Linked DNA regions of Oryctolagus cuniculus. The protein of the gene in region 1 interacts with the protein of each later gene in a pairwise test. Links are inferred from orthologs where the notes say so. Each region holds a gene or a part of one and is shown in the gene's direction. Other genes may lie near its edges.

The links.
Region 2: the proteins of TRAF3IP1 (region 1) and PCNT interact in a two-hybrid assay, tested with the Homo sapiens proteins (2 studies listed by BioGRID and IntAct). The link is inferred for Oryctolagus cuniculus from reciprocal best matches to the Homo sapiens genes TRAF3IP1 and PCNT.
Region 3: the proteins of TRAF3IP1 (region 1) and KANSL1 interact in a two-hybrid assay, tested with the Homo sapiens proteins (2 studies listed by IntAct). The link is inferred for Oryctolagus cuniculus from reciprocal best matches to the Homo sapiens genes TRAF3IP1 and KANSL1.
Region 4: the proteins of TRAF3IP1 (region 1) and SNAP91 interact in a two-hybrid assay, tested with the Homo sapiens proteins (2 studies listed by BioGRID and IntAct). The link is inferred for Oryctolagus cuniculus from reciprocal best matches to the Homo sapiens genes TRAF3IP1 and SNAP91.
Region 5: the proteins of TRAF3IP1 (region 1) and OLFM1 interact in a two-hybrid assay, tested with the Homo sapiens proteins (2 studies listed by BioGRID and IntAct). The link is inferred for Oryctolagus cuniculus from reciprocal best matches to the Homo sapiens genes TRAF3IP1 and OLFM1.
Region 6: the proteins of TRAF3IP1 (region 1) and GOLGA4 interact in a two-hybrid assay, tested with the Homo sapiens proteins (2 studies listed by BioGRID and IntAct). The link is inferred for Oryctolagus cuniculus from reciprocal best matches to the Homo sapiens genes TRAF3IP1 and GOLGA4.
Region 7: the proteins of TRAF3IP1 (region 1) and SMC2 interact in a two-hybrid assay, tested with the Homo sapiens proteins (2 studies listed by BioGRID and IntAct). The link is inferred for Oryctolagus cuniculus from reciprocal best matches to the Homo sapiens genes TRAF3IP1 and SMC2.

What each region holds. Positions count from the first base shown.
Region 1 is NC_091434.1:2,099,007-2,103,005, reverse strand, and holds the start of TRAF3IP1 (TRAF3-interacting protein 1), read left to right. Parts: upstream 1-1,199; 5' UTR 1,200-1,316; coding exon 1,317-1,439; intron 1,440-3,999.
Region 2 is NC_091435.1:434,690-438,189, reverse strand, and holds part of PCNT (pericentrin), read left to right. Parts: intron 1-1,271; coding exon 1,272-1,436; intron 1,437-2,692; coding exon 2,693-2,845; intron 2,846-3,500. UniProt on the Homo sapiens protein: Integral component of the filamentous matrix of the centrosome involved in the initial establishment of organized microtubule arrays in both mitosis and meiosis. Plays a role, together with DISC1, in the microtubule network formation.
Region 3 is NC_091448.1:17,221,315-17,223,635, forward strand, and holds part of KANSL1 (KAT8 regulatory NSL complex subunit 1), read left to right. Parts: intron 1-492; coding exon 493-550; intron 551-763; coding exon 764-876; intron 877-1,964; coding exon 1,965-2,217; intron 2,218-2,321. UniProt on the Homo sapiens protein: Non-catalytic component of the NSL histone acetyltransferase complex, a multiprotein complex that mediates histone H4 acetylation at 'Lys-5'- and 'Lys-8' (H4K5ac and H4K8ac) at transcription start sites and promotes transcription initiation.
Region 4 is NC_091436.1:88,831,198-88,834,697, forward strand, and holds part of SNAP91 (clathrin coat assembly protein AP180), read left to right. Parts: intron 1-1,972; coding exon 1,973-2,003; intron 2,004-2,987; coding exon 2,988-3,099; intron 3,100-3,500. UniProt on the Homo sapiens protein: Adaptins are components of the adapter complexes which link clathrin to receptors in coated vesicles. Clathrin-associated protein complexes are believed to interact with the cytoplasmic tails of membrane proteins, leading to their selection and concentration.
Region 5 is NC_091432.1:236,275,124-236,278,623, forward strand, and holds part of OLFM1 (noelin), read left to right. Parts: intron 1-94; coding exon 95-314; intron 315-3,500. UniProt on the Homo sapiens protein: Contributes to the regulation of axonal growth in the embryonic and adult central nervous system by inhibiting interactions between RTN4R and LINGO1. Inhibits RTN4R-mediated axon growth cone collapse.
Region 6 is NC_091435.1:173,679,261-173,682,760, forward strand, and holds part of GOLGA4 (golgin subfamily A member 4), read left to right. Parts: intron 1-2,439; coding exon 2,440-2,595; intron 2,596-3,500. UniProt on the Homo sapiens protein: Involved in vesicular trafficking at the Golgi apparatus level. May play a role in delivery of transport vesicles containing GPI-linked proteins from the trans-Golgi network through its interaction with MACF1. Involved in endosome-to-Golgi trafficking.
Region 7 is NC_091432.1:207,901,379-207,904,878, forward strand, and holds part of SMC2 (structural maintenance of chromosomes protein 2), read left to right. Parts: exon of another isoform or gene 1-557; intron 558-596; exon of another isoform or gene 597-1,694; intron 1,695-2,239; coding exon 2,240-2,350; intron 2,351-2,535; coding exon 2,536-2,580; intron 2,581-3,500. UniProt on the Homo sapiens protein: Central component of the condensin complex, a complex required for conversion of interphase chromatin into mitotic-like condense chromosomes.

The sequences.
Region 1 (3,999 bases):
GAGAAATGTGCAGGAGGGTGAGGGCTTCATTTCGGAGAGCAGACGTCTAGAGGCTAAGTTGTGTCCACAGCAAGCAGAGAGCAGGCCAGGAGCCAGCCCCGGGAACGGGCACGCGCCCCGAAGGCAACGGCCAACAAAGGAAGGGCCCAGCGAGCTCCGGGCCTTTTAGCCACTTCCAAAGGCGCGTGGTCACGTAGCCTGAGTGGCAGTGGGCGCACAGGTGGGGGCAGGAAGGGGTGAGCTCACAGGGGTGTGAAGACGTGGTCTTCCAGCTCGCCAACTAGCCGATTTTCTCCTGTCTGCCTGCCCACGTCACCAACAGCAGGCCAGGATGCTTCCATCGAAAGGGCGCGGGGAAGCGGAAACCCGCACGAGCCTCACGGACACTTGCTGCCCCGGCACCGCGGAGACTTACAACCAATTTCCCAGGCTCCATCAGCTCCCGGGGCCAGCCTGGCTGTGTCCATCAGCTTGCACGATCCCGCTTCTCCTGGGCCTCCGGCCCACGCGCACCTGCCGTTTCTGGCACACGGACACCAGGTGAAACTTTAAAAGATACATTATTCGGTCTCTCCATTCACTGGCTCACCCGCATACGCCCGCAATGGCTCCATCCGGGTCTCCCACGCGGACAGCAGGGACCCGGGCACCGGGCCGTCCCCTGCCGCCGCCCAAGGTGGACATCAGCAGGGAGCCGGACTGGAACCGGGCAGTCCCGCCCCGTGCCCGCCCCGGGGACGTGCAGGTGCACACGCAGAATGGCAGACCAAGGTAGAGGCTCCACACAGACCCCGGAGCCCGCAGCCGCCGCGGGGCGAGCCCGGGGCCCCGTTCGCTGCCCACCTGCCCCGCGGGATGCGTGGCGGCGGCGGCAGGGTGGAGGTCTGAGGGAAAACCGGCCAAGGACCGCGCAGGACAGGGCACTGCCCGCCGCGCGGCTTTCGGGATAACCGCGTCCTGGCTCCGCCCACGAGCCAGAGCCGGCGAAAGCGCTCGGGAGCTGAGAGGCCCGGTGTGGAGCGCCTTCCTCGGACGGTCACCGCGGACGCGGCCCCGCCGCCGGCCGCTGGACAGACCCCGCTTCCCGGCGTCCCGCGCGCGGGCGTTCGTTGCCAAGGCCGCGCCGCCCTAGCGACCGGGCGCGCCGCGGCCTCCGCGCAGGCGCCGTGGCGGGCCCGGTGCACTGTGGGATGGGGACCCGCGCTGCGCGTCGCGGCGGCACCGGGCGGCGGGGCCGGCGGGGCCAGGGAGCCGGGCTGAGGCTCGGCCGGGCCGCCTGAGGGGCGCGGGCGGCCGGACGCGCGGCGGGCGGCGCCATGAACGCCGCGGTGGTGCGGCGGACGCAGGAGGCGCTGGGGAAGGTGATCCGGAGGCCGCCGCTGACGGAGAAGCTGCTCAACAAGCCCCCGTTCCGCTACCTGCACGACATCATCACGGAGGTGGGCGCCGCCGGGGCCCGGTGGCCGGGGGGGCCGAGACCCGGGCCTGCGTCGGGGCCGGGAGGCGGGGCGTGGGCGAGCCGCGGCGGCCCCTGCCGGGACTGCGGCCCCTGGGCGCCCTGTGCGGGGCGAGTGGGACCGCGCCGTCCCCGGTGCGGGGCGAGCTGGGACCGCGCCTTCCCCGGTGCGGGGCGAGCCGTGACCGCGCCTTCCCCGGTGCGGGGCGAGCCGTGACCGCGCCTTCCCCGGTGCGGGGCGAGCTGGGACCGCGCCTTCCCCGGTGCGGGGCGAGCCGTGACCGCGCCGTCCCCGGTGCGGGGCCGGGCTGTGACCGCGCCTTCCCCGGTGCGGGCCGGGCTGGGGCTGTGACCGCGCCTTCCCCGGTGCGGGCCGGGCTGGGGCCGTGACCGCGCCTTCCCCGGTGCGGGGCGAGCCGTGACCGCGCCTTCCCCGGTGCGGGGCTGGGGCTGGGGCTGTGACCGCGCCTTCCCCGGTGCGGGGCCGGGCTGTGACCGCGCCTTCCCCGGTGCGGGGCCGGGCTGGGGCCGTGACTGCGCCTTCCCCGGTGCGGGCCCGGGCTGGGGCCGGGCCGGGGCCGTGACCGCGCCCTCCCCGGTGCGGGCCGGGCTGTGGCTGGGACCGCGCCCTGCCCCGGGGCCCGTGGAGACCGGAGTCAGGGTGTTAGGATCCCCACGCTGCAGCCGCCAGGGGCGGAGCCCTGCGGGTGGCGGTTAGCGCTGCTCCGCCGGCCGCCTTCGAGTGAGGCTGGTGTGGGTGTGGGTGTGGGTGCGGGCTCGGTCCGGCCGCGGTGAGTTGAGCGCCCAGAAGTCCCCGGCGCAGGCTCCCTGCTCAGGGAGTCTGGGATGGCTCCTGGCAACCGTCAGGTGTGTGGCAGCGCGGGGGTGGGGCCGGGGTGGGGGTGCTGTTTCCATGGCGCACCGAGGGCCCTTGGGAACTGGAGTGCTCTGGGGCTAGGAAGCAGGTGGACTCTGGGGCGGTGTGACCATTGGGGGCCCTCAGCTCACTCAACAGCTCGGCCGCCCGACCTGCACAGACTTTACCTTAGCTTGTAAGTGTGCCAGCGCGTGTCACCAGCCGGGAGCCCGCCTGCGTCCCCAGGGCCTGGCCTGGACGGTGTCTGGGGAAGGGGCCGGCTGTGGGGGAGCCCCATGGCATGGAGGCAGGGTGCTGCGCCGCCTTCCCTGGGGAGGTGGCAGGTGCTGTTCCCTGCCCGGAGGCCTGGGTGGGGGCACTGAGCCCTCCACTCTGGTCTGCTGTTCGTCCTGCTGCTCCCTGAAGTGCAGAGCTGCGGGGGGAGGTGGCTGGTGACCGCCGGGTTGGGAAGAGGGCGCTGCCCGCGGCGGGAAGAGGGACCCGACTCCGGAGGCCAGGAGGCTGTGTGGGGCGGGTTATGGAGGCCAGGACGGGCTGTGTGTTGTGGGTCCCGGGGGCCAGGACGGGCTGTGTGTTGTGGGTTATGGAGGCCAGGACAGGCTGTGTGGGGTGGGTCACGGAGGCCAGGACGGGCTGTGTGGGGTGGGTCACGGAGGCCAGGACGGGCTGTGTGGGGTGGGTCATGGGGGCCAGGACGGGTTGTGTGGGGTGGGTCACGGGGGCCAGGACGGGCTGTGTTTTGTGGGTTATGGAGGCCAGGACGGGCTGTGTGGGGCGGGTTATGGAGGCCAGGACGGGCTGTGTGGGGCGGGTTATGGAGGCCAGGACGGGCTGAGTGGGGTGGGTTGCCTGCTCCCAGTCGCCTGCTGGCCTGCGTGTCCCAGCCCAGTGCTGAGATGCACTCTGCCGCCTTGTTGGTCTGGCAGACGGCGGGCACGCTGGGACAACAGGGTCGGCCGAGCGCGGGGAGCCGGTGTCCAAGGGGCCTGCTCGCGTCCTCGCGTTCGCGTTTCAGCGTCTGCAGGAATCCTCGCTGCCCACAGTCCCTGCTCAGGGTTCCAAGGGCGGGGCCCGGTGAGGCTGTGCCAGGAACGGGCACGCAGGTGCTCCGGGCATCCCGCCTGTGCCGAGGACCGCGGCCGTGGCTCTCGGGACTTGGTGTGCACTGGAGACTGGGTTAATCCGTAGCCAACTTGGTGCAGATTGGGCTGTAGCTTCATTCCCGAGGAGGCTGGCGTTAGCGTGGGGCTGTCCTGGTGCGTGTCCTGGAGCAGGTCTCAGAGTAAAGGACTCCTGACGGCCGAGCAGCGACCCGTCCCCCCGCATACCACGTGCTGACGTCCGAGCAGTGACCCGTCCCCCCGCACGCCACGTGCTGACCAGGGCCGAGCAGTGACCCGTCCCCCCGCACGCCACGTGCTGTCCAGAGCCGAGCAGTGACCCGTCCCCCCGCACGCCACGTGCTGACCAGGGCCGAGCAGTGACCCGTCCCCCCGCACGCCACGTGCTGACCAGGGCCGAGCAGCGACCCGTCCCCCCACCGCCACGTGCTGACCAGGGCCGAGCAGTGACCCGTCCCCCCACACGCCACGTGCTGACCAGGGCCGAGCAGTGACCCGTCCCCTCCCCACGCCACGTGCTGACGTCCGAGCAGTGACCCGTCCCC
Region 2 (3,500 bases), on another chromosome or scaffold:
GCATCTCGGGCCCCTGCTGGTGCCGCCTTCTGCCCGGCTCCTCCTAGCCCTGATCCGGAGATCTTGATTTGATATTGTTGTATGTCTAATAAATCATTTTAAAAGTGAAGCTGTTTAAATTGTTAAAGACGATTATCTTTAAACATAAAAAAATTAGATGTTTACCCTTTTTTGGTCCCATGCTGGAATTCTGGTGAGGTGTGCTTGCATTTAACTCGATTATTCTGTCACAGGCCTTGGTGCTGCTTAAGTTTGCATTTCTCTCTTTTTGAACTTCGTTAGTTTCCTTCCTGTCAGTTTTCTTTTTTTTTTTTTTTTTTCTTTTTATTTTTTGACAGGCAGAGTGGACAGTGAGAGAGAGAGACAGAGAGAAAGGTCTTCCTTTTGCCGTTGGTTCACCCTCCAATGGCCGCCGCGGCCAGTGCACTGCGCTGATCCGAAGGCAGGAGCCAGGTACTTCTCCTGGTCTCCCATGTGGGTGAAGGGCCCAAGCACTTGGGCCATCCTCCACTGCACTCCCTGGCCACAGCAGAGAGCTGGCCTGGAAGAGGGGCAACCGGGACAGAATCCGGCGCCCCAACCGGGACTAGAACCTGGTGTGCCGGTGCCGCAAGGCGGAGTATTAGCCTAGTGAGCTGCGGCGCCGGCTCCTGTCAGTTTTCTAGACAGCAAGTGTCTGGTGCAAAAGTCTGTATCATGCACATGGTGAGGCCGCCTCAGCAACACTGTCCCCTGCAGTCCTGACATTTGGCTCTAGTGAGGGGCTCTGGGGCCACCTTCCTCCCCCAACCCTGTGTGGGCAACACAGATGCAGCTTACTGTAGCGTGGACACCCCAGACCTGGTGACGTGGAGTCTATGTTAGGCTCACTGTGGCTTTCCCTGTACCCCATGTCTGCTGAGATACCTTTTCCCACGACTTGGGGTGTGTGCTGGCTGCCGGCTGTGCCGAGTGCACAGGCTCCTGAGCGGCCCTTGTATGGCCCTCGTATAGTGCTCGAAGAGGGCTGGGGAAGGGCTCAGCACACCTGGTAGTGGGTGCTGGCTGGGTGCTGCTGGCTGGGTGCTGACCTGAAGTGCGGACGAGGGAGCACACCCTGGGAGCAGCTTCGTTGTCTCTCTGAAGGCCTCATGATCAGAACTTTAGACTGGCCCAGGGTCCACCCTGCATGGAATGTTTGACCCTACACCTCTCTGGGATGTGAAGGACATGGTGTGCGTATGGGCGGTTGCCAGCTGCTGCTGCTCTCTGACGTGATTTTCCTGCCACAGGCTTTGCTGCAGATGGTGTGTGACGAGAGCCACCAGATCCTGGCCTTGTCGGAGAGCCGCGACCCCCCCAGTGCTCTAAGCAGGGGCGAGCCACACAGCCCCCTGCACCACTTGTCAAGTGAGGGGCGGGGCCTGCTGGAAGTGGCCCCTGACACAGGGGAGAAGGTACGGACTTGGTTCCTTCTGCACCTTACTGGCCCTGTAACACTGAATTGAAGCGCTAGCAGAGATGACTGCGTCCGTAGAGGGGCCTTGTGCAGAGATGGAGAGAGCCCTAAAGAAGCTGCAGGCCTCCCTGTGGCCCACGCTGGCTCTGTGGGCAGGTTCCCCGCAGGATGTGCTATGGAGGTACTGGGGTCTGCACAAGCTGGCCAGGGACTCTTGGGGCTCTCCTTACAGGCTGAGGAGGGTGAGGCCACTGGGTGATCACATGGCTGAGAACCTCACTGCCTCAGCCTGTCCTCACAGGATGATGCCTGCCAGCCTCCATGGGGACCCCTACGGCGCCTCCTCCTGCTCCTCCTGTGACCCATAGCCTGCTTCCTCCTCCCTCCATACCCCATGCCAGACAGGCTGCTAACCCCTGAACTTGGCTCGACCCCTGAGCTTTGCAGTGTCTTTGCCTGTCTCCACCTGGTACCCGGGGCTGCAGGCCAGGTGCGTGCTGACCTCTAGGCCCATCCTTCACATCTGCCACTGCTTGTTGGAATGGAAGTGCCACAAAGCGGAGAACTGTGTCCTTGTGCCTAGGACTTGCTGGCATGTGGCTGGTGCCCACTGAATCTAGTGGAAGAGTGGCTGCCCTCCCTGCTGCCATCCATGCCCCCCGGCTCTGGTGGGATGTGAGCTGCAGCTGGCTCCCCAGAGGCTCATAGCGCTGCCCACAGCTCTCCAGCTGGGCAGCCGTGTACAGCCTAGGGCCTTGCAGATCCCACAGTAGGGGGAGAAGGAAGGAATTTGCCAGCATTCCTCTCCTTCTTTCACTGCTTCCTTGTTCTCTTTTCTGTTTACGGTGCCAACTTCTGCTTCTTGTCTTTCGATAGTCCTGGTGCATAGGAATCTTCTCTGCTGTCCTGCTCAGTGGCTACAACAGTGTCTTTCCTGCAGACACTGATCTCATAGTTACAGGGACCAGAAATCCTAGCGCAGGGTGCAGCAGGGTCAGATTGTGGAAGGGACGCAGTCCCTGGCCTTGTCACTGCAGGGGGAGAGAGAGGGTTCTGATAGTTCTTGTTAGAAGGACACAAAGCCCATCACAGTGGTCCCACCCTCATGACCTCATTTAACCCTAATTGTCTCCAAAACTGTCACATTGAGGGGAAACAGTCCTGACACCAGCCTTTTGGGGACAGACCTGTTCACTCCGCACAGCACCTGCAGAATGTGTTGGCAGAAATTCTGAGCTTGCTTCGATATTACAGGAATCTCCTGACCCATGCTTCGACTGGCGAGGAACGTTCCTGCAGGCCGTCCGGGAGGCACTGGCAGTCGAGCTGCAGCCCAGACTTTGTGGTACAGACCCAGGGGATCCTAGTTCTCTGCTTCAGAGGCTGGAGAAGGTCATCCGAGAGCAGGTGAGGGGTGGCTCCGTTTCAACGGGACTTGTGGTGTCTGAGGAAGTCACAGTCGGTGCCTGTGTCACTGTGCACGTGACTCAAGCTCCCTGACCGGACAGCGTGTGCGTTGATTCTTCCCATAGCTGCCGCAGAGTGGTTCTGAGCAGCCGCTGCTAGTTGTTCTGAGAGTCCCGGGCCCAGCTCAGAGGGGACGGTGCTGTGGGGACAGTGGCAGTCCTGTTTCCTCCCCTGCACTCAGGGACACAGGCTGGGAGCCAAGGCCTGGGGCTGTGTACTCTGCCTTCCACTTTGAGTTAGCAGGCTCTTAACAGGGGCTGGCCATTTGGGTTGCAAAGGCTGGACTGCAGGGAGGCTCGGGTGAGGTGCTCACCTTCCTAGGTCTGGAGTCCCTAGAGGCCCTACTTTTTTTTTTTTTTTTTTTTTTTTGACAAGCAGAGTTAGACAGTGAGAGAGAGAGAGACAGAGAAAGGTCTTCCTTTCCGCTGGTCCACCCCCCCCAAATGGCTGCCACAGCCGGTGTGCTGTGCCGATCCAATGCCAGGAGCCAGGTGCTTCCTCCTGGTCTCCCATGCGGGTGCAGGGCCCAAGCACCTGGGCCATCCTCCATTGCCCTTCCAGGCCACAGCAGAGAGCTGGACTGGAAGAGGAGCAA
Region 3 (2,321 bases), on another chromosome or scaffold:
TAAGTGACTGCATCAACCAGAGATCACAACCTGACAGTCCAGTGACTATTACTGGTCTAAAACATATGCGTTAATGCATCCATTATATCTTAAAATACTGAATTTGTTGTCAGCATCAAAGTAGGATTTCACATGCAAATTTATTATTTGTTGACAAATCAGAGGATTGGATAAACCTATGTCTGCATTCCTGTGTGGTAGCAGTCAACTGGCAAGATTTGTTGGTCCCCTTTAAACCTTTCCTTTGCTTGAGTTTGTCATAGCATCCCAGCTGCACTCCCACACAGCTTTTCCCATTTTGGACCCTTGTGGGCATTTGAATGTGGGACCTCTTTTAGAGGTAAGGGGTAAGTGGACAGAGTCTGCCCAGCAGAGAACAGTATCACCCAAAGACTCAGAGCCCACACACTTGACACCTGCATGGACTCAATGGGTCCTGCCCCAAGCTGCAGCCTGCATGTGTCTCATGATTGCCCCTTCTTCATTTTGCAGCTGGCGGGAGGTTGATCTTCAGTCTCTGAAGGGGAGTCCTGATGAAGAGAATGAGGAGGTAATGGCGTGATCCTTTCTCTTTTAGAAGAGGGCGCACACGCATGTGCACATATCCGTCTGGGTGCCTCCAGACCTATGGGTTTCAAATGCAAGCTCCTGCAGTGCTCACTGACAAGCCTGAGGTGGTGGGGGTAATTTTAGAGTCAGTCTACACATACTCAGCTCAGCGTCCTGGGGGAACAAGGGCATCAGCGAAGCTGCTCTGTTGCAGATCGAGGACCTATCCGACGCAGCCTTTGCCGCCCTGCATGCCAAATGCGAGGAGATGGAGAGAGCACGGTGGCTGTGGACTACGAGCGTACCGCCCCAGCGGCGCGGCAGCAGGTGATGGGCCAGGAACAGACACCTGGAGCCTGTGCAGAGGGAGGGTGGACAGGGAGTTTGGGGTCTCTCTGTCTGTAGTCTGCTCTTCTATTCATCTGTGGGCAGTGGCTCAGATAGAAGTTCCTTGTTGTTTGTTGTAGTGGGGTATAAATAGCCAAATGCTAGATCCTTGCTGAATGACCCACTGTCTGATTCTGACAAAGTGTAGTGGTCAGCTGTGGTATTTGGAAGTTGGTTAGGGGTGATGGCGATGGTGGTCTAATCAGAGGACTTAAGGAGGCCTTACCAAAGGTTAATCCTCCTCTGGGCAGTATACTGTGGTTATGTAACTACTTGTCTCCGTTTATTGCCAATAATGGCAGAAGCCCTGAGGTGCTCAAGTAGAATGTTTTGGAACTCTGTTTTTGCCTTCTGTGACGACGACTACTAGTTTCCAAGGTCCGGACCAGTTTCTCTTCTCCCATGGAATCACTGGATGCCATGGCAGGGCTCCTCCCCAGCATTGTTTGGCCATGCTTTCTCTTGGGATTAAGACATACACAGTTTGTTTGTTTTTTGTGGGTTTTTTGTTGTGTTTTTTGTTTTTGTTTTTTTACAGATAGAGTTAGACAGTGAGAGAGAGACAGAGAGAAAGGTCTTCTTTCCATTGGTTTACCCCCCTCAACTGGCTGCTATGGCCGGGGCTACGCTGATCTGAAGCCAGGAGCCAGGTGCTTCCTCCCGGTCTCCCATGCAGGTGCAGGGCCCAAGCACTTGGGCCATCCTCCACTGCCCTCCCGGGCCACAGCAGAGAGCTGGCCTGAAAGAGGGGCAACCGGGACAGAACCAGCGTCCATATGGGATGCCAGTGCCGCAGGTGGAGGATTAGCCATGTGGGCTGCAGCGCCGGCCCCAGACATACACGGTTCTTTGACGTCATACTGTGTACCTGTCCCTCTATGCAGCAGTGGAATAGGTGGTTGGCTGCTAGAAAAAAATACTATGGTGTCTTCTTCGGCTTCTCTCATGCCTCTCCCCACTCCCCAGAAATAAACAGACAAGAAGTCCCCTGTTACCCAGTACTCAGATCTGCATTCCTTGGTGCCCAGGTCTTACAGGTCATCAGACGGCCGGACCACCCCTCAGTTGGGCAGTGCCAACCCCTCTACCCCCCAGCCTGCCTCTCCCGACGTCAGCAGTAGCCACTCTTTGTCGGAGTTTTCCCACGGCCAGTCCCCTAGGAGCCCCATTAGTCCAGAACTGCACTCAGCACCTCTCACCCCTGTGGCTCGGGACACACTGCGACACTTAACCAGCGAAGACACCCGATGTTCCACGCCGGAGCTGGGACTGGACGAGCAGGTGAGGGACACTGCCTCCGCATGGGGTTGGTGAGCTGGGGGTGGAACTGGGGAGGCTCAGCACCTGCTAAGGATGGATCCATCTCATGACCCTCCCCATTTTGA
Region 4 (3,500 bases), on another chromosome or scaffold:
ATATTTTAGGTTATGAAACTGATATCATTTTGATTATAGTGAAGATTATATGAATCTGTTTGTCAAAATTCATAGAAACTTACCCATTCTCCAAAGAACCCACTGAATTTCACTGTATGTTAATTTTGTAATTAAAATGCAATATTCTAAAACTGAATAAAATTGCCTACATGCTCCTTTTCAGTATTCCAGCGTACTTTTGCAAAAATTAACAAGTTGTACCTAAAATTCATATGGAAGTATCAGAAAATCGAAATGCTCGAAACACCCTGAATAGAGAATAACTCTGATGGCCCCATACTTCATACTTTCCAAAGCTTACTAGAAAGCTACAGTGATGAAACAAGTGATGCTGCATAGGGATGGACATAGAGATCAATGGGATGTGAAGAGCCTAGAAATAAACCTATACATCTGTGGTCACTCAGAACAATTGAAGGGGAAAATAGTTGTCTTTTCAACAAATAGCGCTGGGAAAATTACATGTCCACATGCAAAATAACAAAGTTGAACCTTTTACATACAACCCCCCAAAATAATTCAAAATGGATTAAAAAAACTAAATGCTTGAGGGGCCAGCATTGTGGTGCAGCGTATTAAACTGCTGCCTGTGACACCAACATCCCATATGAACACAAGTTTGAGTCCCAGCTGCTCTCCTTCCCATCCAGCACCCTGCTAATGCACCTGGGAAAGCAGCAGAAGATGGCCCAAGTGCTTGGGCATCTGCCGCCAATGTGGGAAACATGAATGGAGTTCCAGGCTCCTGGTTTTGGCCTGGCTAGGGAGTGAACAAGCAGATGGAAGATCTCTCTTTCTCTGTCTTGACCTCTGTAACTCTTTCAAAGAAATAAATATATCTTTTTAAAAAAGAACTAAATATAAAAGTCGAAAGTATAAAACTCAGAGAAGAAAACACAGAAGCAAATCTTCTTGACCTTAGACTTGGTAATGTTTGGTTTCTTATATAAGACATCAAAAGCACAAGCAAAAAAAAGGTATTTGACCTGGCAGTTAAAGTGCTGGTTAGAATGCCTACACCTGGTTTCAATACCCAGATCCTCCTCCTGATTCCAGTTTCCTGCTAATTCAAACCATGAGGGGCAGCAGTGATGGCTCAAGTAATTGAGTTTCTGCTACACATATGGGAGACCTGGATTGAATTCCTGGTTCCCAGCCTGACCCAGCCCTGGTTGGTGCAGATATTTGGGGTGTGAACCAGTAGATGGGAGTTCTGTATGTCCTCTTCTTCTCAATCTCTCTCTGTCACTCTACCTCTCAAAGTAAAAGAACAAAATGTTAATAAAGCACAAGCAACAAAAGTAGGTAAACAGGCTACATAAAAATGCAAAACTTTGGTGCTACAGATGCCATCGAGAATGTGAAGGGACAACCCAGACTGGGAGAAAATATTTGCAAATCATTCATCTGATAAGACACTTTACCTGCAGTAAACAACTTTTACAACTGAATAATGAAAAGACAAATAATGTGATTACAAAATGAACAAAAAATTTGAGTAGACATTTCTCCAAAGAATATATGCATATGGCCAGTTTGTACATGAAGATATAGTCAACACTAGTCATCAGTGTAATGTAAATCAGAAGCAAAAAAAAAAAAAAAAGTTACCACTTTATACCCAATAGGCAGCTGTAATAGAAAAGACAGACAATGGCTACTGTTGGTGAGGACATGGAGATCTAGAAACCAGCCCAGACACCAGCCTCACAGGTCTTTCTTAGCAGTCTCAAATCTGCTGTTGACTCTTGTCTGTGACCCTATGTCTAACATGAAGCAAAAGGAAGTCTCAAAGAGTATGGATATGTTTCCTAATATAGATTCTTTTTTGTATAACTGAATGCAGTCATTCCTAGGTCAAATGTTTACTTTTTCAAGACCACTGACATTTGGAACTTTTAAATGTCAAATCTTATATAAACTGATTTTTTTTTCCTTGATCCATTTTTAGATCTTGGAATTTCTGGTACGACATCAAAAAAGTAAGTTTTGAAATTATTTCATTTTCTTTTGATAATTTGAGATTATCAGATTTTGTATCCTTGGAATATATTATTGATTCTTAAAGTAGATGACTTAAAAGGGTTTTTTTTTTTATTTCATTTTGGATTTAATTATTATCATCTTTCTGCTAGAACCTTTGAAAAGTAATAGTTTATTTCAGTATTTAAGATTATCATTAGGCCGGCGCCGCGGCTCACTAGGCTAATCCTCCACCTAGCGGTGCCGGCACACCGGGTTCTAGTCCCGGTCAGGGCGCCGGATTCTGTCCCAGTTGCCCCTCTTCCAGGCCAGCCCTCTGCTGTGGCCAGGGAGTGCAGTGGAGGATGGCCCAGGTGCTTGGGCCCTGCACCCCATGGGAGACCAGGAAAAGCACCTGGCTCCTGGCTCCTGCCATCGGATCAGCGCGGTGTGCCGGCCGCGGCGGCCATTGGAGGGTGAACCAACGGCAAAGGAAGACCTTTCTCTCTGTCTCTCTCTCTCTCACTGTCCACTCTGCCTGTCAAAAAAAAAAAAAAAATCATTAAGTTATATCTGGAAATACTTAGGAATTTTGATTTTCATATTTTAATAGCTTTAAAATCTCAATTCGTTGTAATATTCCTAGCTAACATTTATTCTAAAGTCTCTCATAGAGTATAAGTTTTAAAGAAGGATAGTAAGACTGATAAAATACCTGCCCTTTTTTAGATGTATTTTGTCACTGAAATTGGGATGGAACTTACCATAGATGGTGTCTTACAGCAGATTGTTGTCATGAAATAGTTGTTGTAGCCTGCTGTTGAACCTTTACAGTCCAACAAGTGCCATCTTCAATGCATCTTAAATTCAACAAGAAACAGGTGTACATTATGATACTCTTATTTGGAATTTTTTATGAGTGAAAACAAGCTACTTCTAAATCAAATAAAAATTTTTTTTTTGATTTGTGTTTTTTGTTCACTTGTTTGTTTTGCATACTTTAGGGGAGATCTTCAGTGGAATGCTGGAGAGAAAAAGTTGACTGGGGGAGCTAACTGGCAGCCAAAAGTAACTCCCGCAACATGGTCAGCAGGCGTTCCACCAAGTGCACCATTGGTACGTAGCCTCAGAGGCCAGAGCAGCATGGGTCGTTTGCAAGTTTCTGAGGTTATAGAGCAGGGTGCATTTTGCTTGCCTTTGGTACTGATGTATATTTACATCCTCACTGAAGAAATACAAGCAAGATGCAAAATTTACCAAAATGTAAATTTCGTTGACTTCATATTTAATAATGATTATGACTTATGTTTTTTTCTTTTAATGACTTTGAAATAGTATTGGTACTTCTATATTTGTAAATTATGGGAAGTGACTTTTCCAAATCATTCAGGATCATTATACATATTACCATGTTTCTGGCCCAAATTCTATATTTGCAAATTATGGAACTGATTTTTCAAAATTATTTAATATCATTTACATATATTTTTTTCATATTTCTTGCCCAAGTTTCCTGA
Region 5 (3,500 bases), on another chromosome or scaffold:
GGCGCACAGCCCCGCCCGTGGGAGGAGCCGGCGAGGCAGGCCTTACCAGTTCTTGCATGCTAGGCACTGAACCCAGCTTATTTTAACCTTGCAGGCGATTAAAGCGAAAATGGATGAACTTAGGCCTTTGATCCCTGTGTTGGAAGAGTACAAGGCCGATGCCAAATTGGTATTGCAGTTTAAGGAGGAGGTCCAGAATCTGACGTCAGTGCTAAACGAACTGCAAGAGGAGATTGGCGCCTTTGACTACGATGAGCTGCAGAACAGAGTGTCCAGTCTTGAAGACAGGCTGCGTGCATGCATGCAAAAACTAGGTAGGCCCGGCGCCCGGGGCGCGGCGCTGCCCGCCTGCGGCACGCGTGCAGGCGTAGGGAGCGCGGCCAGGGGCGGCGCCTGCCCGGCCTCGGCGAGCCGCCCGCAGGGCTCCTGGTAGGGCCTCCTGTAGGGTTAGCGCAGCAGGAGCCCAGGCAGGGCCTCCAGCCGCAGACCCCACGGAGGAGCGCGTCTGGCAGAAGCAGGGCGAGCGGAGCCGCTGCCTGGGGCTGGGCGCGCGCGTGCGTGCGTGCGTGGGCGCATGTGTGCGTGGGTGCGTGCGTGCGTGGGTGCGTGGGCGCGTGCGTGTGTGCGTGAGGGACACGAGTTCCAGGGGGCTGGCGACACGCCTCGGGTTCCTGCAGACACTGGGAGACGGGCGCCACCCCGTCCCAGCAGAAGATCCGCCCCTCCTCGCCAGTGAGGGAGCCCCTCTTCCAGCCCCAGGGGTGCTCATGCGCCCCTGGCACATTTCCCTGGGTCCTCAGCGGTAGCCCCGCCCAAGCAGGGTGCCCCACCGGGACCCTTGCTTGAGATTGATTGCCAGTTAATTGCGATAAGCGGTCTCAGTGAGTTGCGCCGGAGCCCGGCTCGTTCTGGGGCTCCCCCCTCCCCGCCCCGAGCCCACCTCCTCTCTAGCCATGTTTCCCATGGAGGCTGCGCATTCCATGCGGTCCCTGGCCTAGGGCAGCTTGGGGTCCAGCCGAGGGTCAGCTCCGTCTGAGGCTCTGACTTGGTTCCCTTCCCTCTCCTCCCGACCCCGCCCGGGCCCTGCACCTGCTGCAGGGGCGTGGCCAGCAGGCACCATGGGGCTTCCTCGCGCTGTTAGGCAGGAACTGGCCGGGAGAGGACAGTAGCATCAGCCAGCCGTGGTTAAACAGGGCGGGGGGCGGCGGTCTCCATTCTGGTGCCTCTGAGCCCCTGGCCGCAAGGAGAAGAGAGTGGGGCCCACGCTCTCGCCGTGTCACACAGGGTGGCCGACTGTGTTCTTTCCCTCTGCTCCCTGGTTTCCTTGCTGCCCGGGACTGGGTGACTTGGACCATGCGGGCTGGGCGGGGCCGGGGGGGGGGGCTGTGGACGTGCAAGGGTTTGGTGGGGGCCTGAGGCCAGTGACGAGAGACACGCTGGCTGTGTGACCTTCTGCTGGGTGCCACCCTTGGGTCCCCCTGCCCCAGGACCAGAGTTTGGCTCGGTTTTGCTCCTCAGGCCCCTGGCAGCCCCTGGCAGGGTGGGTTTTCTTGTTTCTCCGTCCCCCATATCCACTGACTCCCCCCGGCCCCATCCGCGCCCCGCCGCACCCGTGTGCACCCTGGGACACCGGGAGGAACACGGGAAGCCTCTGTGTTGTCCCGGCAAGGGAGCAGGGTGGAAGCTGACGCACGGTGAGAAGGAGGCTTTGGGCCAGGCTTCCCGGCCGTGCCGTTTCGAGCGCCAGGTGAGTTTAGCCCAGGTTCTGGAATCTCCTCTTGCTCGCCTCGGGCGGCCGAAAACGCTGGTTTGGGAGTGGAGCCGAGGCTGAGTGGGCGCCCCCCACCGTGCGCTCTGCGGTTTCTGCCTCTGCCTCGAATGGGTCAGGAGGGCTGTGAGACACGGATGGGCCCTGGAGCAGGGCGGCCCTCGTGGGTGCCCCCGTCCCCCTGTCCGGGGAGGCAGCCTGTAGGGCAGGGGGTGCTGCCCCCGGCTATGCGGCTCCCCCAAGGCCTTGTCAGCCGCACCTCGTCTGGGCCCTGTGGTTGCTGGGAGAGTCCAGTTCCTGCTGCGGGGCACGCAGGGGGGTGGCCCTGGTGGACACGGAGAAGGGACTGGTAGGATGACACCTGGGTACATGACAGAGGCGGATGACAGGTGCCTGATCGTAGATGATTGATGGGTGGGTGGGTCTGTGGATGATAGAGGTGGATGTTGCTAGGTGCTAGGCGGGTGACGGGCGATGGACAGATTGGCAGAGATGACGTGATCGGTGGGTGGATGGATAGGTGATAGAGGTGGGTGATTGGTGAGCTGATGGGTAGAGAGTGGCAGACAGTTGATACAGGTGACAGTTGATTGAAAGGTATCTCAGTAGATTGAGCTCCTCCTCCCTCTTCCCCCGCCTCCATTCCGCTCAGTGAGTGGCTTCAAGGTCGGGTTTCCGGGTCATGGCCTCTCGGTTTGGTCTCTGTGCCAGCCTTGCACACGCGCAGGGGCTGGGGTCACCCCAGCAGCCAGTTTCCTTGTTGGCGGCTGGGGGAGGGGCTGGCCTCTGTGCAGCGTGGGCTCTTGGGCAGGCGGGGCCCCTCCCACGCTTGCACCCCTGGGTCCCTGCTGTGTCCGGTGGCGGGCTGATCTCCCTGGGGTTACGGTGGGGGACAGGGCTCCCAGCAGCGCCTGCCCTGGAAGCACCCAGGCCAGGCCCCCTCCCAAGACCCCCTCCCTGTGGGACTCAGCTGGAGGCGGATCTGGGGCTCACTGTCAGGAAGGTGTCTGTGTCCAGCCTTCCAGAGCCAGTCTTGCCCGGGGCATTATGGAGGCACTGCCGCCCGGCAGGGTCCCCAGCCCCGAGCCAGCGCCTGGGGCGTCTCTCTGGACACCTCAGAGGCAGATGCTCCTTCAGGTAAACTGAGGAAGGCGGAAACCTCAGCACAGCCGGGAACGCTGGACCTGAGCCGCGCTGCTCTCTGCAGACGCACTGGGCGTCCCCGGGGCTTCTCCTGGTTACAGCCTCCCCGGCAGCCTGGCTGGGGCTGAAGCCCCCAGACGGCGGGGGCACGGTGGCACCCAGCGGGGGTCTCATTCCTCTGAGAAGACAGAGCCATGGGGGGCTGGGCTGCTGCCGAGTCGCCCTGGTCAGCTTCGCCCTCCCATGGGCGGCTGTGTCCGTGCCTCCTCGTCCAGTGCCGTGAGGCGTTGGGAAGGTGAGCTGGGCCCAGCGCTGGGAGACCCCGCAGGCTCGGGGCGCTGGCCTGGGCGGGGTCCTGGCGGGGCCCCGCCCTCCTCTCAGCTCCCTCCCTCCAGGGAGGGCTGGGGTGTCAAGTGCTGCCCAAGGAGGTGAAAGGTGGAAGAGCCCCCACCCCCACCCCAGGACCTGGTCTGAGACCCGGGCAGGGGGCGGCTTGGTCCTCCGCCCATTTCATCTGCACCAGGGACGTGTGTGCATCCAAGCCCCCGGCTATGCCGACTTCTTCCCACATGGGTCTGAGGGAGAGCGG
Region 6 (3,500 bases), on another chromosome or scaffold:
AGGAGGAGGGAGGGAGGAAGGGTGGGAAATATCGTTACGGATTTAAAATTGTATATATGAAATACAGATAAATAGAACAGTGATAGCAAATAAAAAGTCAAAAGTATTTTTCTTCAATTGGGAAAGCCTTCTAGATAAGTCACCATAAAAGTGTTAATGCCAGAAATATAGTTTGTTTTTATATGAAGTTATTTATAAGGTAATAATATGTGTGCAGTTTTAAAATACTTTAGTGCCAAAAGATAAGAAATTGTATTTTAAGTTTTAATCTTTCATATGTTATTTTTCCATTTTTCATTGGATTTGGAGCTCTGAGAATTTCCAGGAGCAGTGATTCTTGGAAGAGTTAGCAAATATTCTCATCTGCTCTGGCGGCAGATGGACACATGGGTTTATAGTACATTTGGCTGAGGGCATATTAGTCTGTGGTCATGAAGTTTACACATGTATGGGCACATATTTATATTCCCCCTTTGTCGTCTGGAAAGGAATTAAAGCAGTTTACAAGAACATTTAAACTATGATGGAATAGGAGCATGGAAATTAGCAAAGTGTAACTTAAATGAAGCCAGGAAGACATTTAAATGTCCAATTTTAATACCTTCAAGGATTTCATGCTGAGGTAATTGGCTTTTGGGGGCACTGAGCCTTCAATATTGACCTTAAAAATCAGATATATTCTGGCTGGCGCCGCAGCTCACTAGGCAAATCCTCCGCCTTGCGGCGCCAGCACACTGGGTTCTAGTCCTGCTCGGGGCGCTGGATTTTGTCCCGGTTGCCCCTCTTCCAGGCCAGCTCTCTGCTGTGGCCAGGGAGTGCAGTGGAGGATGGCCCAAGTGCTTGGGCCCTGCACCCCATGGGAGACCAGGAGAAGCACCTGGCTCCTGCCATCGGATCAGCGCAGTACGCCGGCTGCAGCGCGCTGGCCGCAGCGTCCACTGGGGGGTGAACTAAAGGAAAGGAAGACCTTTCTCTCTGTCTCTCTCTCTCACTGTCCACTCTGCCTGTCAAAAAAATTAAAAAGTAAAAAATAAAAAAATTAAAAATCAGATATATTATAATTAGAGAGCACATCTACACACACACACACACACACACACACACACAACTAGCCCCTTCCTAATTCAACAGAGAATTAAAATTTTCTCTTTTATTTTTATGGGTCTATAGAGGTTAATTTAAAATATGGTTTATATAAAAATATAGTATATTTAAAATATTTTAAAATCAGTGTTGTATTGTAGAAATTATTTTCTTATTGATCTACCCTTAACATTGTACAGAATTATTATTTAAAGGAGTGTGCTTCACCAGAGTATTGTGAACTGAAAATATTGCTTTGGCAATATGAACCGTAAGCAAAAGGTATACATAGATATGTGTACTTTTCTTACTAGGAGTTCAGGAAGACGTTTACAGTTATGTGTTAATGCTGAAAGTGCTCTTTAGAACTCCTCTTCTCGAAATAGGAAGCGCGTTGGGTATGCATACTGATCTGTAGTAAGGAGAGTCAGAGCGGCGTTTCAGGACTGATGGGGAAGCAGCCCAGATCATCTGAGAGGATTATCTTGTAGGTTTAGTTTCTAGGGATTTCCTTGATCTTTTCTTTATGTTCACAAGCAGTCTTCTGATTCTGATTTGCTGTTGGCATGTGGGGTTCCTCGGTGTAGTGAAGTATCGCTTATGAATTATATACATTCAATACCTAGTTTCTAAATCTAGAGTTGAAACACCAAACTCTGCGAAGAAGAGGTAATGACAGTTGTATGACTTACCACATCCATTGTTGTTTGTTTTAAAGATTTATTTATTTATTTGAAGGTCAGAGTTACAGAGAGGGCAAGGGAGGGAGGGAGGGAGAGATAGAGAGAGAGAGAGATGTTCCATCTGCTGGTTCACTCCAGAAATGGCCACAATGGCAAAGGCTGGCGCAGATCAAAGCCAGGAGCCAGGAACTCCAGCCAGGTCTCCCACGAGGGTGGCAGGGGCCCAAGTGCTTGGGCCATCTTCTGCTGCTTTCTGTGATGCATTAGCAGGGAGCTGGATTAGAAGCTGGGCAGCCAGGATTCGAACTGGCACCCATATGGGATCTGGCACTGCAGGTGGCAGCTTTATCCGCTATGCCACAGTGCCAGCCCTGCATTCGTTGTTACTTTGGCTCACATATTAACTAATGGAAAAATAGCAGACACAAGGGATTGCTGGAACAAAACCTTCCATGTCATTAGTAATTGTAGCAGAACTTGAGCCACCACACTGGAAGAGCCAAAGGGCCCTGTTTCTGCAGAGTGGAGTGTGGGAGGAGAAAGGTAAAGATGTTGCCTGCTCTGGGGAACTGGGTGCAGATCAAATGAAAGGAGTGATCCCCATGGAGGTGCTGCAGGAGTGCTAAAGATTGATGGGCGTCTGAGATGGTACTATTGATTGTTTTTGGCACAGGAAAAGAGTCATTTAGAATATTTGAGAATTACCCAAGAGAAAGAACAGCAAGAATCTTTGGCCCTGGAAGAGTTAGAGTTGCAGAAAAAAGCAATCCTCACAGAGAGTGAAAATAAACTTCGGGACCTGCAGCAGGAAGCGGAGACTTACAGAACTGTAAGTTTCAGTAGTGTTCAGGCCCAGAGCCGTGAAACTCATCTCTTGCCATGTCCTGGTCATAATCCATTCTCTGCTTGTATCACAGTTGAGTTATACTAACGCCCGCTTTTCTGTTTAAGTTTTCCCCAATTTTTCCATTCTCAGTACAGTCTTTTTTTCGTTTTCTTTTTTTTTTTTTTTTTTAAGATTTGTTTATTTGAAAGGCAGAGAGAGAGAGGGAGTGGCAGGGGTGGGGAAAGATCTTCAAAATGCTGGTTCACTCCTCAAATGGCAGTAACAGCCAGGGTGAGGCCAGGCTGAAGCCAGGAACCAGGGCATCTTCCAGTGTCCCACGTGGGTTCAGGGGCCCAAGTACTTGGGCCATCTTCTGTTTCTTTCCCAGGCGCAGTAGCAGGTAGCAGGATTGGAAGTGGAGCAGCCGGGACTTGAACTGGTGTCCATAAGGGGTGCCGGCATCACAAGCAGTGGCTTCATCCCCTAAACCATGATGGTGGTCCCTGAGTATAGTTTAATGAACATATTTGTAAATATGTCTCATTGTGCACATTTTTAAGGCCCTTTGGCCCTTCCTTTAGCAATATTTGACATGTTTTGCCTGTTTGGAAAACCGACTGCTGTTTAGACTTTTTGGACTTCTTACTCTGATGATTTAGGCAGTGAAACAGTTGCACATCTTGCCCATAGCTCTAAAACTGTGCTTTATTTTCCCATTCCCAGCATTTAGAAAAGGTGGCATGGTGGAGTGAAATGGGTACCTAGGAGGTAAAATTAATTGTACCTTAATTTCCTCACCGTCACATGAAGAAATGGACTGGTAAAGCCCTTAGAACCTTTGTAGCTCTGACGTTCTGTGACTTCACCTTAATTTGCTCTTTTTTCCTTCAGAGTCAAGATTCATATTT
Region 7 (3,500 bases), on another chromosome or scaffold:
TTTACTGAGAGTTGTAGCCATAAGCCAACCCCAGTGGGGTCACTGCAAGGAGACAATGATGGGGTTCCAGGTACTGCTGGTGCAAGTTTAGACAAGCTTAGAACTCTTCTACAGCTTGGATGTAATCACCAGGGTCCACTTCAACTTCTCCAAGTTTAGGATGTTCCTGTGTATCCTAAAGTTCAGCTTATGTTTTTTGCCTTTTAAAATGATCTTTGCTAAATCCTGCATATTCCAAGCAAATTCTAGGTTCCCAGTCTCCTTTTCATTTTCTTAAAGAGATTTGTCAATAGCTGAATCTTTGGGTGTTTCTTCAGTCTTGTGATTTTATTTATCTGCTTTTGAACCTTCAGTTTCCTCACCCCCTTTCATCTATTCTCTGTCTGCTGTCTCTTTGTTAGCAGCTGTCGTTAACTGTCTTCAGTGATTTCTTGGTTTCAGCCCCATCACCAGCAGTCTCATATTCTCATGTGTAGCTTAGCCTGCTGGCTAGGAACTAGTTCTGCCCTGACCTCTAGTTCTGAGCCACCTTTTGTTTCTCTCAATCCTGCAAAAGTCTGTGGATCAGCAGAAGCTCTGCAGCTGCAAGTTCATACCATCATTAGAGACAGCTGTGGTCTCCTGCCCAGGCTCCTAAGATTCTTCTGGTCTCACCCTGCATCTGGGCCTCTGTAGCCTTTGTTGTCCTGACGGGTGGCTTTTCTAGAAGAGGCACTTCCTGCCCTACTAAGATGTTCATTGAGAACAGCCTTTTCTGTTTCATTTTCAGAGGTGGTTACCTGCTCCTTTGCTTCTACATCCACTGCAGTGTCCTGCTTTTCTGAATTCAACAGGCTGCTCTTCTGCAGCGTCTTTTGACTTCTGTCTGCTTACAATTGCCTCTCTGCTTCTGCTGTCCTCTTTTTATCTCTGCACTCTTCTTGGTCCAGAAACTGAATTTTCTTCCTCAGTATCTAGTGCTTCCTGTTCTGGCTTCCCCAAAGTGACCTCAGCTTTGTTCAGCCCTTCTGGTGCTGCAGTTCCTTTTGCCCCTTTGGAGGTTTCAGTTATCTGAAACATTGTCTTGTAGCTTCTCTGTAGGCTCACTTAAGTCCTTATCTTCTATTCTACCATTCTCCATTTCACTTCTCGGGCTTTGATGGAGACTTGCCGCCTTTTTGTGTGTGTTCTTGGCATCAGAAACCCATTTTCTCAACTCTTCCCTTGCTTCCTCAGGTATATTTTCATTTTGTACCAGAGATTCATCTTCTGTTTGTCTCATTTTTCCTCTTCCATGTGTACTTCCAAGGCGTTTTCCCAACATACCATTCTCTGTTCTGATAATTCCAAAAGTGATTTTCCATAGAAAAAGAAGACTTCTCCACACTTGTTAGCTGTCCTCCCTATACACTGTTTCTTAAAAGGTTAGTTACTTCCTGGAATCACCAGATGCTTCTGTCTTAAACCCAATAGTTTCTTGGCTTTACTGTCCACATCAACACTCCCCACCTTATCTGCAGTGGTAGAAAAAACAAGAGCATCTTCAGTTTTGCAGCAGAAGCCAACTCCGTAGTGATGGGGGCAATGGCTGTGGACTGTTTCCATCATTCCCTCAAGGAGGTGGACCACTGAGTAGACCAGAGTCTGTGAGGGAAGCAGAGGCTTACTGGGATAGAAAATGGCAAATTCTGGATTTATGAATCCCAGAAACTTAGTGTACCAAAAAACTTGATTTTAGAAGAGTGAAGGCCAGAAATGTTTCTTGGAAATAAGAGCTATGGTAATCATCTGCATTTAAAAATGCATATATTTGCTTAGTTCCATTTTATTTGAAAGGCAGAAAGAGATCTTCATCTGCCGATTCCCTCCCTAAATGCTCTGCATACTGGGGGTAGGCCAGGCATAACCATGAGTCCAGAACTCAATCCAGGTTTCCCATGTGGGTGGCAAGAAACCAACTACATGAGTTGTCATCTTCTGGCTCCTATAGTGCACTTTAGCAGGAAGCAGGATTTGGAAGTGGTGCCAGAACTCAAACCCAGGCATTCCAGTATGGGATGAAGGCATCCCAAGTGATTTGTCTTAACCTCTGCTCCAAGTGTTTGCTTCCTAATATATGCATATTTACCTATTTAACTTTTACTTTGTACTAGGGCCGTTATTTTGGTTGCTTAGGGAGGCAGAGGCTATAATATATTTCATGTAAATTCCAATTAGAAATATTAAAAGTCTTAAAACATTAATACAATGATCATTTCAGATTTTATCCATGATAGAAGAAGCAGCTGGAACCAGGATGTATGAATACAAAAAAATAGCTGCCCAGAAAACTATAGAAAAAAAGGAGGCTAAGCTGAAAGAAATTAAGACGGTAATTAAATTCATATAAAACATTTTTGGAAAAGAGTGTAACTTTGCATTTGGGTTTTCTGCTTGTAAAGAGGGCTATTATTTATTTATTTATTTATTCATTGGTTTTACAGCATCTTCAGTATTTTTAAAAATATTTTGATGATACTTTACATACTGAATATAGGGATTTTCTTTATTTTCTAGATACTTGAAGAAGAGATTACTCCAACCATTCAAAAATTAAAAGAGGTATATACTGCATATGTGAAGACAACCATTTAGAATGTCTCAAAAGTGGTGATGTATCTAAAATCAGTTACAGGGATGAAGTGTGTGTAACATTTCTTGGGGATCTGTCCCTGTGATTATATAAAGATTTAAAGTTAGTGCTTCATAATTCAACCTTTGTTTACAGAGGCTATGTACTTCATATCTACTAAGTCATAGTGATTTTGGACAACCATCTAGATCTCAGAAACTTATATGCTGTATGTTAATACTTTATTGAAGAGAAGGAAGTTTGGATTTTACTGGATAATTAGAATGAACTGGAACAACATTTTTTAAAAATGTAGCACTTAGTAACCCTCAGTGGTAATGAACATTAATAAGGTGGGATAATAGGATAATGTCTAGGATAATCTATAATTATTGATATGAAGACATTTTGTAAGTGGAAGGTACTGAAACCAAGGATTGGGTTTTCTCTGTAATCTGTAAAGCTCCAAACATTATAAAACTTGTGAAATCCGGAGTGCATTTATAGAGTATTAATTTGTAATATGTCCATTTAAGAACTCCTTAAATGTTCATAAAATGTTGGTACTTTTCAGAGCTGTTTTCTTTCTATATATATTTAAGGTGTTTTCCTTGTATGCATGATTTAGTAGAAAACATTGGATTTTGAGTTTAAATTTAGATTTCAGAGCTGACTTTGACACATTATTTCTAAATAAGACGATGTGGATGGGTCATTTAACCATATAGAAGTTGTTTCTTCATCTGCAAATAGAGAATTCAGTTGTTACTTTATTCCAGCAGGTTTTTAGGGGAATCAAGTTCAATAATGTGTGAGCAAGTACATGAGGTAATCCTTGAAAGAATGTTAGTAGGCACTTTGGGTAATACTACTACAAAATGCATTTGGTAACATACCACTGGAGGATGTG